Saccharomyces cerevisiae S288C: one gene and its partners. The gene in region 3 interacts genetically with the main gene of each other region. Each region holds a gene or a part of one and is shown on either strand. Other genes may lie near its edges.

Evidence for each region.
Region 1: mutations in AAP1 (region 3) and OCA1 together harm fitness more than expected from each alone (negative genetic interaction), as found in Saccharomyces cerevisiae (2 studies listed by BioGRID).
Region 2: mutations in AAP1 (region 3) and PTK1 together harm fitness more than expected from each alone (negative genetic interaction), as found in Saccharomyces cerevisiae (2 studies listed by BioGRID).

Annotation. Positions count from the first base shown.
Region 1 is NC_001146.8:438,067-440,918, reverse strand, and holds OCA1 (putative tyrosine protein phosphatase OCA1), read left to right. Parts: upstream 1-1,635; coding exon 1,636-2,352; downstream 2,353-2,852. Other genes in the region: PLS1 (Pls1p), read left to right, coding at 1-122; Ras family GTPase RAS2, read left to right, coding at 349-1,317; MIC27 (Mic27p), read right to left, coding at 2,602-2,852.
Region 2 is NC_001143.9:67,732-71,744, forward strand, and holds PTK1 (putative serine/threonine protein kinase PTK1), read right to left. Parts: upstream 2,490-4,013; coding exon 501-2,489; downstream 1-500. Other genes in the region: PEX1 (AAA family ATPase peroxin 1), read right to left, coding at 3,003-4,013. UniProt on the Saccharomyces cerevisiae protein: Essential determinant for low-affinity spermidine transport.
Region 3 is NC_001140.6:196,419-205,928, forward strand, and holds AAP1 (arginine/alanine aminopeptidase), read right to left. Parts: upstream 4,893-9,510; coding exon 2,322-4,892; downstream 1-2,321. Other genes in the region: DDE1 (Dde1p), read left to right, coding at 1-815; inositol monophosphate 1-phosphatase INM1, read right to left, coding at 980-1,867; YHK8 (Yhk8p), read left to right, coding at 8,189-9,510. UniProt on the Saccharomyces cerevisiae protein: Positive effector of glycogen accumulation. May be involved in nutrient-sensing.

The sequences.
Region 1 (2,852 bases), on a different chromosome or scaffold from region 3:
TGACAGCAAAGACGAAACAAAGCTGGAATAAGGGGATCTGGGAAAACGGGAAACAAGGTTCACATCAGCAAACATTTCTACCGAAAATCTGGGTAAACATTTATAGTACCCCAACATCTTAAGTTTTAGCCGTTGTCTTCTCTTATCGCCTAGAATCGCTCATTTCAAGCGTAACGCAATCCGGCTTTTGTTTTTTTTCCATTTTATTCATCCACTCTTTATCTGACTCTTCTGCACTATATTAATCAACTAGGAGAAAATTACTTGAGCAGAAAGATACGAGAGAATTACGGATAAAAAAACCAAGTTAACCGTTTTCGAATTGAAAGGAGATATACAGAAAAAAAAATGCCTTTGAACAAGTCGAACATAAGAGAGTACAAGCTAGTCGTCGTTGGTGGTGGTGGTGTTGGTAAATCTGCTTTGACCATACAATTGACCCAATCGCACTTTGTAGATGAATACGATCCCACAATTGAGGATTCATACAGGAAGCAAGTGGTGATTGATGATGAAGTGTCTATATTGGACATTTTGGATACTGCAGGGCAGGAAGAATACTCTGCTATGAGGGAACAATACATGCGCAACGGCGAAGGATTCCTATTGGTTTACTCTATAACGTCCAAGTCGTCTCTTGATGAGCTTATGACTTACTATCAACAGATATTGAGAGTCAAAGATACCGACTATGTTCCAATTGTGGTTGTTGGTAACAAATCTGATTTAGAAAACGAAAAACAGGTCTCTTACCAGGACGGGTTGAACATGGCAAAGCAAATGAACGCTCCTTTCTTGGAGACATCTGCTAAGCAAGCAATCAACGTGGAAGAGGCGTTTTACACTCTAGCACGTTTAGTTAGAGACGAAGGCGGCAAGTACAACAAGACTTTGACGGAAAATGACAACTCCAAGCAAACTTCTCAAGATACAAAAGGGAGCGGTGCCAACTCTGTGCCTAGAAATAGCGGTGGCCACAGGAAGATGAGCAATGCTGCCAACGGTAAAAATGTGAACAGTAGCACAACTGTCGTGAATGCCAGGAATGCAAGCATAGAGAGTAAGACAGGGTTGGCAGGCAACCAGGCGACAAATGGTAAGACACAAACTGATCGCACCAATATAGACAATTCCACGGGCCAAGCTGGTCAGGCCAACGCTCAAAGCGCTAATACGGTTAATAATCGTGTAAATAATAATAGTAAGGCCGGTCAAGTTTCAAATGCTAAACAGGCTAGGAAGCAGCAAGCTGCACCCGGCGGTAACACCAGTGAAGCCTCCAAGAGCGGATCGGGTGGCTGTTGTATTATAAGTTAATAAAAAGGAAATAGTTGTAGAAACGCTAAGACGAAAAGAACTCTATAAAGTTGAAACGAGTACACACATTTATAAATATATACAAAAGTAAATAAAAAAGTGACTGTTTTTATATTGCTTATTGCCATTTGCTATTTCCGTTTCATTCTTGTTAACATTGGAAACTTTGGGCAATATCATATGGTTGCCGGGTAAAGGAAAAAACAAACAACATCGCTATAACATAAAATTGGACATTGCAGAGAGTCATCAATCACATCCATTTTCACAAGAAAGAGGTGTTCCACCTGGAATAACAAGCTTCTCTTTCCCCTTAGAATGACATCTAAAGTTGGTGAATATGAGGACGTTCCAGAGGATGAGTCCCGCCTCACAGAAGAGAACGTATCCGTACCTGAAGAAGAAGTAGAAGACGAAGACGAGGAAGAAGACGACGATGATGATCATATATATATCAATGAAGAAACAGAATCTGGTCGCGAAAAGGTCTTGGTATCACATGCCCCACAAGAACGTATCGTTCCACCTTTGAATTTCTGTCCCGTTGAAAGATACCTCTATAGATCTGGTCAGCCTTCACCTGTGAATTTCCCCTTTTTACTAAACCTAAAACTGAAAACAATTATATGGCTGTCTAACGAAGAACCTCAAGATACCCTCCTAGAGTTTTGTGATACTCATAGAATAAACTTACAATTCGCAGCCATCAACCCGGATGCCGGTGAGGACGATAATCCATGGGACGGTCTCACTGAACATTCTATAATTAATGTACTACAAACGATCGTCACTCAAGAGAATTATCCCTTGCTAGTGTGCTGTGGTATGGGAAGACATAGGACTGGGACAGTCATTGGATGTCTCAGAAGAATAATGGGTTGGAACTTAGCCAGTGTATCCGAAGAATATAGACGCTTTACTGGTAGCAGAGGTGGTAGAATTCTTGTAGAGTTGCTTATAGAAGCTTTCGACACTAATTTAGTAAAAATAGACAAAAATAAAGCACCAAGTTGGTTACTGACAGCTTTGGAGTAGAGGCAAGAAAAAAAAAATGCAAAAGATAAAGAAAAAGCACTGAGCTTTATGACCATTTACCTAAAGTTTGAAATGTTTCAGGATGCACGGCCCATTCGCGAACCAACTTCTAAAGATCACACGAAATGAAATTCAAAATAAATGAAATTTATTTAATGGGTAATTTTATAGAATATTAATTATCCGATTTATATATGGACATACTTACTATGGACATGATAATGAACAAAAAAAGATATCCGCTTGATATCATGCTTGCTCCAACTTTTCATAAAGCTGTTCCCTTGCATACCTTATATTTTTTTGTAATGTCTGATCGATTTGACGTTTTAAATCACATTTCTTGGCAACATATCCTTCCTCATAAATTCGTTTCCAAGTATTGTGATATGACTTGACGAAATCAGCTGGCAGTAAATCATTTTCAGTGGCATTGACCAAATTCTGTGATGTCTGTGGAGCCCAATACTTGAATGTAGCTGCTGCCAATACCCATGGTA
Region 2 (4,013 bases), on a different chromosome or scaffold from region 3:
TCAGAGGGCACAAGGAATAACACGTGACATTTTTCTTTTTTCTTTTTTTTTTTTTTTTTTTTTTTTGTTAGTCTTGGCTTCTGTGCCGTAGTCTGTATACGGTTTTAGATGCGGTATGTTTATCATCGCCCAGAAATTTGCGGGGTGCAAAGAAATAAAATCCGTGCTGAAACCCGTGCTGAAATCCGTGCACCGCATCAAATTTTCTCGGAGGATTCTTTGCGCCGGTTTTCATTTTCTTCCACGGAATACCAAGCCCATTGCATCGCGATGTTAGTTTAGCGGAGTTTCTTGGCATTGGCAAATCTCTGCTAAATGCTGCGTACAGACGGAAACTCACACCGCCGCGAAGACTGGTCAGTGGCAAAAAAAAAATAAAAATATAGAAAATAACTATTACGTATGTTACTGTTTCTGGTAGTTGATATGAAGTTGGAGTTGTATATTGTACGCTTTAGGAACAGGGAAGTGAATATTATTTACTCTGCTGCACATTCTGGCTAGGTCGAAGCCGGAACTTGAGAAGACGCCGCGCTAGAACTATGGACCAAGCTGTTGACAATGTTCAGATGGTGATGCACTACCCTGTGCGGGGAGTGGCCACGGACGCGAGCGGAAGGTGCGGAAGGTGCGGAAGGTGCGGGAGTTGCGGGAGGTTCTTCGCTAAGCGTGAGGGTTGCTAGCTGGGGCGGCGGGGTTTCCCTAAGTGTAAATAAGGCCTCGGCTGGCACATGAGTCGCCGGAGGAGGCGGCGGAGGCGACGACGCTAAAACCGTGGCCGTTGGGGAAGGATGGGCGGCTATATCTACCATTGACCTGATGGGGACTCGGTTCTTAAGGAATGGGTTTGAGGTGGGTGTGGTTGCAGCAACATCTGTAGCGATATGGAAACCCCGCGGATTCTCGTACGTAGTGGTTTTGATAATAGGTTTCTTACACACATATTTGTCGTTGGCATCAACACAAGTCTCAATTCCTTGGAACCATGGGTCTTCGAAGAGGTCGTCGATGGTGTAGCGGGTGGCGGCTTCTGGGTCAGCGAGCCGCCATGCCACGCGAGATGCATGTCCGTTCTTGAAATTTCTAGCCAAGTGATACTCCATTCCCGGCCCCGGGCGGTAATTGCCGCGATTGCGGAATGCGCGATCGTGAAGACGGATAAAGTTTTCATAAGCGTCACAGTAATCGCGGAAACCAGTGTCGAAGCTGCAGGATTCCAAAAATGGAATGACGTTGTTGACGAGGGTCATGAGGATAATACCCAGGCCATAACAGTCTAGAGCGCGTGGGTCATACGGCTGTTGCAATTCCGTATCGTAGTGCTTCTTGGAGTCGTAGAACATGACCTCCGGGGGAGCATACGGCGGCGAGCCGATCATCCCTGCGCACTTCTTGACAGGGCTGGACAGGTCGTGTGGATCCGTGTGGTACCAGTCTGAGATACCAAAATCTGTCAGCTTGCACACGCCGTCCGGGGATAGCAGTACATTTTCCGGTTTCAAATCACGGTGGGCGATGCCCTGATCGTGGCAAAACTTGACACCACACGCCACCTGTTTGAATATACAAAACTTTTCTGCTAGGGCCACGCTGCGCCAGCCCGATTTTTGTATCATCGCGAACAAATCTCGTAGACCTAGCTCCATGACGAACCCCCACCCGCGAGTGGTGTAGACGGTGGTGGGCACCTTGACTAGAAGGAAAGTATTTGTGATGTGAACATGATGACTTAGCTGCTTTGCGATGATAAACTCCTTTGAGCAGCGCTTGTAGAATTTCTCGGGCGTTTCATTATAGATCATATTGAGCTTCTTTAGAGCAAATACGTCCTTCTTGCGGTACTTGGAGCGGATCTTGCGCACTTCGCACGAACCGCCCCATCCGATGGTCTTATTCTCATCATCAAAGACGAAGTTATCGCTCAACTGGATGCTTGCCTCCTTCATCTCGTCGGGCAGATACTCGTTTGGGTCCACAATTGGGATCGGCAGCATGCGGATTTTGGAATCCCCATCGTGAAGGTAGAAGCCCAGATCAGGGTCTTTCTTCATGGAGGTAGAGACGGACGAGAGTGACGTGCTTGGGGTTGAGACGCCGTATGGATTGTACACTAATCGTTCGCTACTGAACTTGGAGTTTGAGAGATTACGCGAAGTGGACGAATGTCTGTTTCCTCTTGAGATGGACGTGCTGGAGCCGGCCGGAGGTAGGATCTTGGTTGAGGCGGAAGATAAAGATCTCTTGCTGTTGGTTGTGTGAGCGAAAGAGTTTGCACGGCGAGAGGTTTTCAACGAATTCGGCAGTTTTGGGCTGGAGGATTCGCTGTCATTAGTACTTGTAGAGTGGAAGTCTGGAGGTAGAGACGCCTTTTTCTTCAACTTGTTCCCATGGCTTGAACTTAACAGCTTCTTTCCGAAGAACTTAAATGCTGATACCGAGGAGATTGGTTGTTGGGATATCTTCGTAGAATGATTGTGTGAGACTGTCATTGGTTGGTGGTGCGATTTAATGCGTATGCTTGCCTGTGGCGTTAAAATGGTCTATACGTTTATGCTAATATTTCTTGATGTAATGCAGGGCCTATGAATACATGGAGGTTTGTTGCCGGTGGTATACGGTTGAAAAAAAAAAGAAATAGATATATATATATTTCTTCTTTGTATAGACTTCTGCGAGAAAAAGAAAAGATAAGGAAAAATGAAAAAAAAAGCGTATAGGTGCTAAGAAGAATTAAGTATCAAAAGGTAGCAGGCATTTATGTTATATATGCAACTTCGGATTTCGTTCAATACATCTTGACCGGTCTCCACTGTTACTGGCATATTTCTCGGGTTTTTCCTTTTCACCACAAGGGAAAAAAAATGCGTTATGTAATTTCACCAATATTTTTCCCGTCCTGCGTGCTCGCACAATACAATAGGGTCATGTCACGTAATAAGCAACGTGCGCCGCATTTTTTGCCCTTTAAAGGGAAACGCGCTTTGTTCTTTTCTTCTTCCTTTTCACATAAGGGAGAGTCGGCTACCAATGTCGATGGAATTCTCACCATTGGGCATCTCACCGTTCCTATCCTTCTGGAACCTATCGTAAATCCCCCTTAATTTGACCAACTCACTTGTTGAAATACTAGGTTTTGTCTCTTGACAGGCTTCCAATAAATCGTTTATTGTGACCACAGCTGTCAGCTCAGAAGCAGCTGAAGTGCTTGTCTTTGTCTCGTGCACCACATCTTGCTGCAATAGAGTCTTTAGCCGTAGTCTATTTTCTTCTCTACGCCCGTGCTCATTGATACTGAAGTATTCTATATTATCATTGCCGGGTACCACTTCCGATTGGTCTGCAGCAGACAGCCACCTATGTACAGATTTCAAATAAGCATTGTAGCAGAGCCCCTGTAAATCAGCACCCGAAAAACCAGCTGTCTTTTCAGCGATCAACTTCAAGTCTGCATTTTTCTCCAATGCAAATTTTTTTTGTCCCGTATCCTTGTCTTTTGAATTGACGATAGCTTGCAAGATATCTAACCTCTCTGATTCAGTCGGTATATTACAGATCACACTTTTGTCTAATCTTCCCGGTCTTAACAATGCGCTATCAATCAAATCAGGTCTACTTGTAGCTGCTAGTATATATACACCATCAAGGCCCTCGGCACCATCCATTTGGGTCAATAATTGATTGACTACACGGTCTGTGACACCAGTGGAGTCATGCCCTCTCTTTGGCGCAATAGAATCGAACTCGTCAAAAAATAGAATACAGGGTTTGACGGACTGTGCCCTTTCAAACAATTCTCTTATGTTTTGTTCGCTGGCACCTATAAACTTGTTTAAAATCTCTGGTCCCTTAACGGAGATAAAGTTTAACCCACATTGTTGTGCCACGGCGCTCGCCAGAAGCGTTTTACCACAACCAGGATAACCGTAAAGCAAGATTCCTGATCTCAATCTTAGGGGACAATTAACGAAAATAGGCTCATATTTTGTGGGCCACTCTAAGGTTTCTAGAAGGAC
Region 3 (9,510 bases):
ATGAATACCTAACCATTTCGACAAAATTGGCAAATTCTAGTGCAAGCCTACAAATTTGGGGAAAGCTTTTTGCAGTTTTGCTGCATGGTGGGTCTGCATCTTTCATCAATCCTACAACGATAGATTGCGAGTCGTTGCAAGAAACTACGTTACTGTTTACCGAAACAAAGGATGTTGTCAAATTAATTGATTCTAATTCTAGAAGTGGGCTGCTGAATAAAATCTACTTATCCTGGGCCACGAACTTACTGAGCGAGGGTATTTTTACGAAAATTGCCAGAATCGAGCCACATTCTCTTGAAAAATTAAGATGTGTTTATTTGGCAGATAATGTGAAAGATGCTGAGGTTATTTCGACATTTCCTGAAAAAATTCCTCAGCTAAAAAAGACTAACCGAAGAATCACCCCAAGCACTGAACAATTGAATAAAATAAGAGCTCAATTAGGATCCCGTGTAGTCCTCGAGTTATATTGTCCCTACGCTATCATGGGACCTGTGGCACATACCAATTTTTATGACTATAGGGTTTTTGGAAAATCTGTGGACGATAACGTTGTATGTTATGGAACACTAAGTACAACATTAGAAGGAAAAATGGTAGAAACGGAAACAAACCCTCATTTGAACATAGAGAAGAAGCAGGGTATGTTATGTATTCGTGGTTTTAGCATAGGTAAACCAGTAGAGTCCGATCGTTTAGAGAAAGCTTTGCATTTAGCTGAAAGGTTTGGAGGAGGTGAAGGATGGATGCCTCTAGTTGGCGTTTTTGGACTATTTGGCCAAGACGGTTGCTTATACATCTATAATCAATGAGCATTATCTATCGCTTTATTATTTATTATTTATTATTATCATTATTATTATTATCATTATTATTATTACTACCAATACCTTCTATATCCCTGTGATCAGCTAAAATGATTCAAATAACTGTCATTTTAATCGTACATTTTATATTAGGCCTAATGTGCTGACGATCAGTCATATTTCAAATGGCCATCAACACAGTTCCAAAAGTCTGTGATATATTTTGTTTGTTCGTCACTTTCGTTATTAATTGTTCCCCTCACAGCCAAATATGTCCTATTGTCGACATCAATACTCCATTCACCTGGATTGGCACCTACTACACGACCGCCCACTTCTTTCAAAATACACCATCCAGCACACACGTCCCACGAATAGCAACCACCATCCCAATAACTATCAAGGTACCCCATAGCAATATATGCCATTGTCATTGCAGATGATCCTAAATTTCTGAATCCATGAACAAAACCGTAATCACATGATAGTAATTTTTCATATGTGGCCATTTTTGTCTGAAAATTCTTTCCCTCTCTAGCGGAACCTGGCTGTAATGCCACTACGGATTTATTTAGTATTAGAGAACCCATAGATTCCAATTTTGATTTATAGTCATAGTCCTTGTTGTTAACTCTCATCCCATTTCCTTTAGAAGCGGATACCAGAAGATTAATGTGAGGATTATATATAACGCCTACTACGGGCTCTTTGTTTACTGTGAGCCCAAGAGAGGTACAGCTAAATGGGAAATCATGAACAAAGTTTGTAGTCCCATCAATTGGATCAATAATAAAGGTAGGATCATCAGTAATCACGGTCTCCCCTTTCACATAACTTTCCTCTCCAATAAACTTGAAAGTTGGATATTGGGTTTTTACCGATTCCCAAATTAACTTTTCGACCTGTTTATCGATAGCAGTTACAATATCAACGCTCCTGGAGCCAGTCTTCAAGTCATAATCCTTTTGAGTGCCGGACTTGGATTTGATGATTGGTCCTACTTTTTCAGTAGCCAGTTCACAGAGGAATTTCTCGATAGAAGCTAGATCAATGGTCATGGTATATGTGTATATGCGTGTACCAGCTGTTGATTTCCTTATTCATCCAAAAAAAAGAAAACACTGGGGTTATTTAACAAGCAGTTAAATGTGAAGTAAGAGATAAAAGACCTATATTAATACCATTTTTGGAAAAGCAACGTGCGCAACAATGAAAGTCACTCGATGCATCCATTATTCAAAAAAAAGTTTTTTTTTTTTTTCCATACATCATCAGATGAAAAAATCTCGCTATGACGCACGCCAGTCAATATTCACTCAGTTCTTCCGAAAGGAAGCAGAAGAAAGTTCTCTATACTTGGAAATGTGTCAATGAAGATGTTATCAGATTCATTTTCTGCTAGCTACTATATTTCTACATAAGCAAGTAGTAATCTCTTTATTAATTACACGTGGTTTTGACTCATTGGCATATGTATATATTTGTGTTGTAGGTGCTCGTGAAAAAAAAAAGCTATTGATCATACTCATGCTCACGCAAGTAGGTAGCAACGATTTCACGATCTCTGCTCACCCATTGCGCCTTGGATCTAATAGTGTCTAAGGCTTGAGCCAGGGTTTGATCAAAACCTTTAGTGACCTTTCTACTATAGAACGCACTAATTTTTTCAAGGGCTTCAAAAGAGGTAAAATTAGTTAAACCCAATGTCAACACGCCACCCAACACAGGCGAGCCTGGCTGTAATCTCTTAGCAATTTCGTCCCAGTGTTCTTGCATCCAAGCCCATAACCTTTCAATACCCTTCTTATGAACTCTAATGCCTTGCATTGGGATGTAAAAATCTTGATTCAAAACTGTACCATCTAGCAGATAAGACAATGTCCTTTCTAAAAGTTCTTTGTCTTCAAATCTGCCCAAAGCTCTCAAAGCGATAATCTTTTCTTCTGACGAAACAGGGTTTTGATAGATGTTGAAAATCTTTTCGTAATTGTTTTCTCCGCCAAGTCTGGCAACGGTGTTGAAAACAACTGCCTTGAACAGTGCAGGTATGGCCTGTTTGTTCCCATTGGCGTATTCCTCAAACATTTCTACCGCAATCGATTGCATTTTTTCATTGCCAGAAGTGCATGCGGCACTGAAAAGGGTCACTTTTAAACGTTGGATAGCAAAGGAGTCGTCTTCGCCAATATTCCACCCCAATTCAGAAAGTTTGTTAAGTACTAGATCCAAAGTAAATTTATCTAGAGCATTCAATATATCCTCTGGTTCGAAGACCCAAGTAGATTTCAGAGCGGATAAACTATTAATGATTTGTTCCCAAACAACAAATGAATCCTCGTTTTTCCAATTAGAAATTAAATTCAAGAAGTTAGTAGTAGAGGTATAGCCAGATGCAGAAAGGGCTTTTGCATCTGCGACTAAGCCAACACGATCCTCTACGGATAATAAATTTGCCTGTTTGGATAGCTTAGCCCATCTTTCGTCAGAATAAGAGGTAATGAAAATACCAGATTGGTCACCATTAATCTTGAAGAACTCTTCATTCTTTAATTCGAAAGTAGCAGATTTTTCGTTCAATACCAATGTGTTATCGATACCTGTACTGTCTTTCAAAGCTAACAAAATGGGGTATATGGTTGTATCTTCCTCTTCTTTAACATCACCGGTACTTAAATAACGGTGTTGAGTTAATGTGATTTTGTTCTTGTGTTCCTTGACAGATAACACTGGAAAACCAACACGTTTTGTCCAGATGTTCATCACCGAACAAACGTCCTTGCCAGAGGCATCTGCTAAGGCGTCCCACAAATCTCCGGTCTTTGCATTACCGTATTTGAATTTATTCAGGTATTGGGACACACCTTTAATAAAAGTCTCTTCACCCAACCATTTGGAAATCATCCTCAATAAAGAAGATCCTTTAGAATAAGAAATAGCATCAAAAATTTGATTGATTTCGTCCGCATTATTAACGGGAACTTCAATTGGATGGGAAGATCTTAATGAATCTAAATTTAGAGCACGTTGTAAATTGTCAGTAACATATTGCTCCCAAACTTTCCATTCTGGTTGAAACTTGTTGCAAGAGTACCAAGACATCCAAGTGGCAAAACCTTCATTCAACCATAAGCCTTCCCACCAATCCATGGTGACCAAGTTGCCGAACCATTGGTGGGCTAGTTCATGCTGAATAACCTCAGCAACTCTTTGAATGCGATCTAAACTCGAATTTTCTATGTCTAATAACAAATCAATAACTCTATAAGTCACTAGCCCCCAGTTTTCCATAGCACCAGCAGAAAACTCATGAACTGCCACCATATCCATCTTTGGCAATGGATATTCTATGTTGAAGGTGTCCTCAAAGAATCTCAAGGTCCTAGCAGCTAAATTGGCTGCAAACTGACCAAATTTTTCGTCCCCTGGGGTAGAATAAACTCTTACTGGAATACGGAAATTATTGCTTTCCACGTATCTCAGGTCAGCTACAATAAATGCTACTAAGTACGTAGACATCTTTGGAGTCGTGTTAAAAGTTGTATATTTCTTACCCTCTTTGATTGTTTCATTCCTGACATCCATGTTGGACAAATGAGTCAGAAACGATTCAGAGACCAAAGTTACTGCAAAAGTCGCCTTCAAATTTGGTTCGTCAAAACAAGGAAAGGCTCTTCTAGCATCTGTGGCTTCCATCTGAGTAGTAGCCATGTACTTCGTCTCCCCTGTGACTTTATCCGTATACTTAGCCCTGTAAAATCCCGCCATCTGATCATTTAGAATACCGGAAAAGATAATTTCTAACTTCGCAGAAGGTCCTAGGTTTTCAAAAGTTCCATTAGGAAAGACAAGAGTAGCTTTTTGTTGGTTTTCGTTTTTGTTAACTTCAATGGCATTGACACCCTCAATACGTGCAGAATGGAAATCTATTTCTAAGTAATTTATTTGCACAGAGTTTATCGAATGATCATTAATCTGCAGGTCAATTTTTAATGACCCTTCAAACGTAAAAGCACGGAAATTAGGTTCTAGTGTAATGTCATAATGCAATGGGGTAACGTTGTTTGGCAGTACTTCACGGGACATGGTATTAGCTGAGAGGGCAATTTGGCTTGCTTGAACAGGAACCCTCAAAGAAAAATCACGAATTGAATAAGCTTCCCTGAAGATAATTCTAAATGATTAGCTAAGATTACTCATAAAGTCAAAAGTTTGATCGCTAACAAAAGGGAAAAAAACGGAAAAAAAATAAAAAAATGTGTCAAACTCCCACAGCCAAGTCCAAGAGTACGAAAAAAAACTTTCACAACGAGTTCAAAAAATGTGGGATGAAGACTCCCGTTTTTCACCGCCTAGAAAACAGCGTTTGCTGAGAAAAAAAATAAATCATCGAGAAGAAGTATGTCATCATAGGATGTTCCCATTGTAAGGTGATGTGTAACATACTCGAACAAAGAATGTATAGAGCTGAATATTTCTCCTTTAAATTTCAAAGAAAATGAGAAGGAAAATCTCAAACAGAAACTTCGTTCTTTTTCTCAAGTAAGCAAAAGCTTATTGAGACAAAGCGGAATAACTACGATATTAATAACGTTGATGAAGCTCGAACAAAGTTAGCGTCGGTTATGCTTGCCTATATAAAGATATATTTGCCTTACATTTTCGTTGAACGTAGAATGATTTTTGCTTTTAATAAATTTTTTGTTGTTCTTTCAGTGCTTCTTCAACTTTGATACGAAAGCAAGTGCATTAGTACAACAAGAACTGGCCACAACTATACTATACTCATTTTTTCTTGCCCGTGTTTTAAATGTTTTCATCCACAGCATTTGATGGGATGATTGGAAGTGAGACGTTCGAGAAAATCCATATTTTGAGTCAAGAATTCAGATAATATACTGAGATGATTAGGTATGGCTGGGTTCTACAAAAACACAAATATCCGGCTAGCAATGATCACTGAGCAAATTAAAGCGTTAACTCACTCATTATTGTAGCTTATGCGTTTCTCCTCCTCTCTTTTTTTCCTCGAACCGGAGTGGAAGATCCAATAACGTAATATTACTGATGTTGTTATTAAAGCTGGCAAAAATAACATGAGGCGTAAAACCGCACTGCGGTAAGATGAGGGTATAAGGTGGAGATCAGGCGAACAAGCTGTTCTAAATCATACATATGTACAATGAGAACGTGTAACGATCCAATGAGCGTTTCATGATGCCATTGTTTAATCAGAGTGATGAAAAAGAAATATTTGCGACCTTTTTTCGTTACATTGATCGTGAAATTTTAATCAAAGATAATATAAGGACGTGAGATATTTATCTTTTTACTTGAAATTAACAATAGAATTGCGCTAAGCGGAATAAGAGCTTTCGTAAACCTTTCTATTTGCACCATTGCGTCAACGTATAAAATGGTATGACCTTTACACAAACGCATGCTTATAATCTTATGTTTTTCATAGGGTGTAATTTGGTTGATGACGTAGTCTAAATTTGATGCTATCTGCAATTGAGGTACATATAAGAGGTCAATTTCGGGACCAACCCTTTTAATCGAAAAAAACGTAATTCACTAGGGCAAGGGAGAACTTAGCAGCTAATATCGTAAACCTTTCATACTAAAAAAATGCACTTACCATCAACAAAAAACTCAGGACCAATTTCCAAGCTTTTCTAGGTGATTGCCTATAACACAAAAAGATTCGCTCATACATGAGATTTTTACATGTAATAGCAATTTGTTCCGATCAGTTGAAGGTCATCAACGCACGGCAGGTACATCCACACCTATCACAAAGCCCTTCAATAATTCACCTACGTAAAGTTATACCGAAACATGCAAAATCCATGAAAAATTCTGTATGATAACGATCATATCCTTTTGTATTGGTGGTACGATGCTCAAAGATAGTTATTGTTGCACCTGAGGCAAAAGCGGAAATGAAAAATCCAGATGGGGCCAAAAGCAGAAGTATTGTGTACAACAATTGCTTCAGCAGTTTACCAAACCGTTTCCCAGCAATCATCAAAAGTTGCTTTAGCCACATTTCCGCAAGATATCTTTGTGGCTCAACGAAGAGGGCTATTCCAAATGCAATACAATACTAGCCGCTAGTGATCCATGCTTATAGGCAATTTGATTGATAACTGGCCGTTCTATTAAGGAGTCAATGCTAACCACATATAATGCATATAGGATTTGGCCTCTGCTGACCGTAATACTAGACAAGGAATATAAAACAACAACGTAACCCAGCATAAAAACGATATAAATAAAAAAAGAAACCAGATCATAAAGTTTGAGGGCACATCCCTCATGGTTTCAAAATCTCGTACATTGACTCAAACCTCGAGATCTTGTTTAAACGAACATAAGAACAGCGGTACCAAGTGACACATTGCGTACTGTGTAGTATGCGCCGTATATAACTTTTTTTTTCTGAAGGTACTTTGAATTACAATCTATTTTTTACAGTTCCTATGGCAGGGGTTGAAGATATTTGGGTCTGAACCATAGCAGGATTAGTGTTATAGTAGGTATGTGAATAGAAGCTAACAAAATGAGATGAACCTCATACAAAGTCGTAGAGAAAACTGCTAACAGAAGAGCTGCGCCTTGAAATCGTATCTCTAAGCTTATAATAAATTGAAAGGAAAAAATACGTGGTAAATGCAAGCGACCAAAAGGCTACGGCCCAACGCTAACCCGCCGATAGGTGCATAATCTAATTTACCTCCACCAGCAGGAGCCCTTTTTCTAAGTAATAAGCAAACCAGATAACTTACATCTTGCTGTAGGAAACAAAAGCCGGAATAATGGTTCACTCATATTCTTCGTGTGAAACACAGAAGAAATCCAATATTTGCTTCAGTATTTATCTCTAAAAATTGGTCCTACATTGGAAACCATAAACCAATTATAACCGGTGTACGAATTGTAAGCTAGTTCTGGAAATGTCATGTTGCGCAGGTAAAAGTGGAGCTGAATTGTATATCTGTTTTGATCATTATTATCCCTCTGGGTGAGTGGAAATATCAATAAAATGCAATGGCACATTTAATATCCTTCTCTTAATTCCGTGATTTATAACATCTTGATGCCAGAAACACCTTTCGGATCCGGCAATAAAGCGGAGATTAGCACGCTTTTCGCCGGTCCTACGGATTTAGTGTTGGCTATTGTTGAGATTAGTAATACGCAGAGAATTTTTCTACCGGTGAAGCGACCATCTCAGATTATTAGGTCAAGCAATAACACTTGTTATTAGATGCGTTACGTTCACCTGGACCCTATATAAAGGCATATTTGCCTTACATTTGGTGTATGGTATCACCTTGTATACTAAGAACATATATATGCAGATATAACAACAGGATATGGTTGCAGAATTTCAAATAGCGAGTGCACAGTCATCGGCATTGACATCTACTGAAGAAGAGCATTGTTCAATAAACTCAGACAAAGCCGCAAAACTGGATCTGGAATTGACCAGTGAACGAAAAAATGACGGCAAACAATCGCATGAAGTGACCTTCAACGAGGACATCGCGGACCCAGAAGATATAGCACGGCATATGAGCACCGCCCGCCGGTATTATATTTCCTCGTTAATTACATTCACATCGATGGTAATTACGATGATCTCGTCCAGCTGGACGCTTCCTTCAACGCACATAATCGAACACTTTCATATTTCGCACGAAGTCAGCACTCTGGGAATTACGCTTTATGTGTTTGGGCTCGGTATAGGACCTTTATTTCTGTCTCCACTAAGTGAACTATATGGACGAAGGATCACATTTTTATACGCCCTTACGCTCAGTATCATATGGCAGTGTTTGACCATTTGGTCCAAGACCATTACGGGTGTCATGTTTGGCAGATTTCTATCCGGGTTTTTTGGTTCAGCCTTTCTAAGTGTGGCTGGCGGCGCCATTGCCGATATATTCGACAAAGACCAAATTGGTATTCCTATGGCAATATACACTACATCGGCCTTTTTGGGGCCCTCTTTAGGACCAATCATTGGTGGAGCCTTATACCATCAAAGTTATAAATGGACATTTATCACACTTCTCATCACTTCTGGATGTTGTCTCGTTATGATCATCTTTACCATACCTGAAACCTACAAACCAATGCTGTTAATACGTAAAGCTAAGAGATTGAGGAAAGAGAAAAATGATCAACGGTATTATGCTGTCCTGGAAGTCACCCGCGAACAGACTTCCTTACTTTCCGCAATCTTTCTCTCAACCAAAAGACCCTTTGGCCTGTTACTTCGAGACCGAATGATGGGTGTGCTTTGCTTCTATACTGGATTGGAACTTGCCATAATATATTTATATTTCGTAGCGTTTCCTTATGTGTTCAAGAAACTTTACAACTTTGGGCCCATGGAGATTGCATGCTCCTATATCGGTATTATGGTCGGCATGATACTCTCGGCTCCTACTTGCTTGTTATTCCAAAAAACGTTTGAGTGGAGAGTCAAAAGAAATAATGGCGTCAAGACTCCCGAAATGAGATTCGAGCCTCTGTTCTACGGCGCCTTTTTGACCCCAGTTGGGCTCTTCATTTTTGCATTCACCTGCTACAAGCATGTCCATTGGATTGCACCAATTATAGGCAGTGCAATTTTCGGTTCAGGTGTTTATTTCGTCTTTACCGGTGTTTTTGCGTATACAGTGGATGCCTA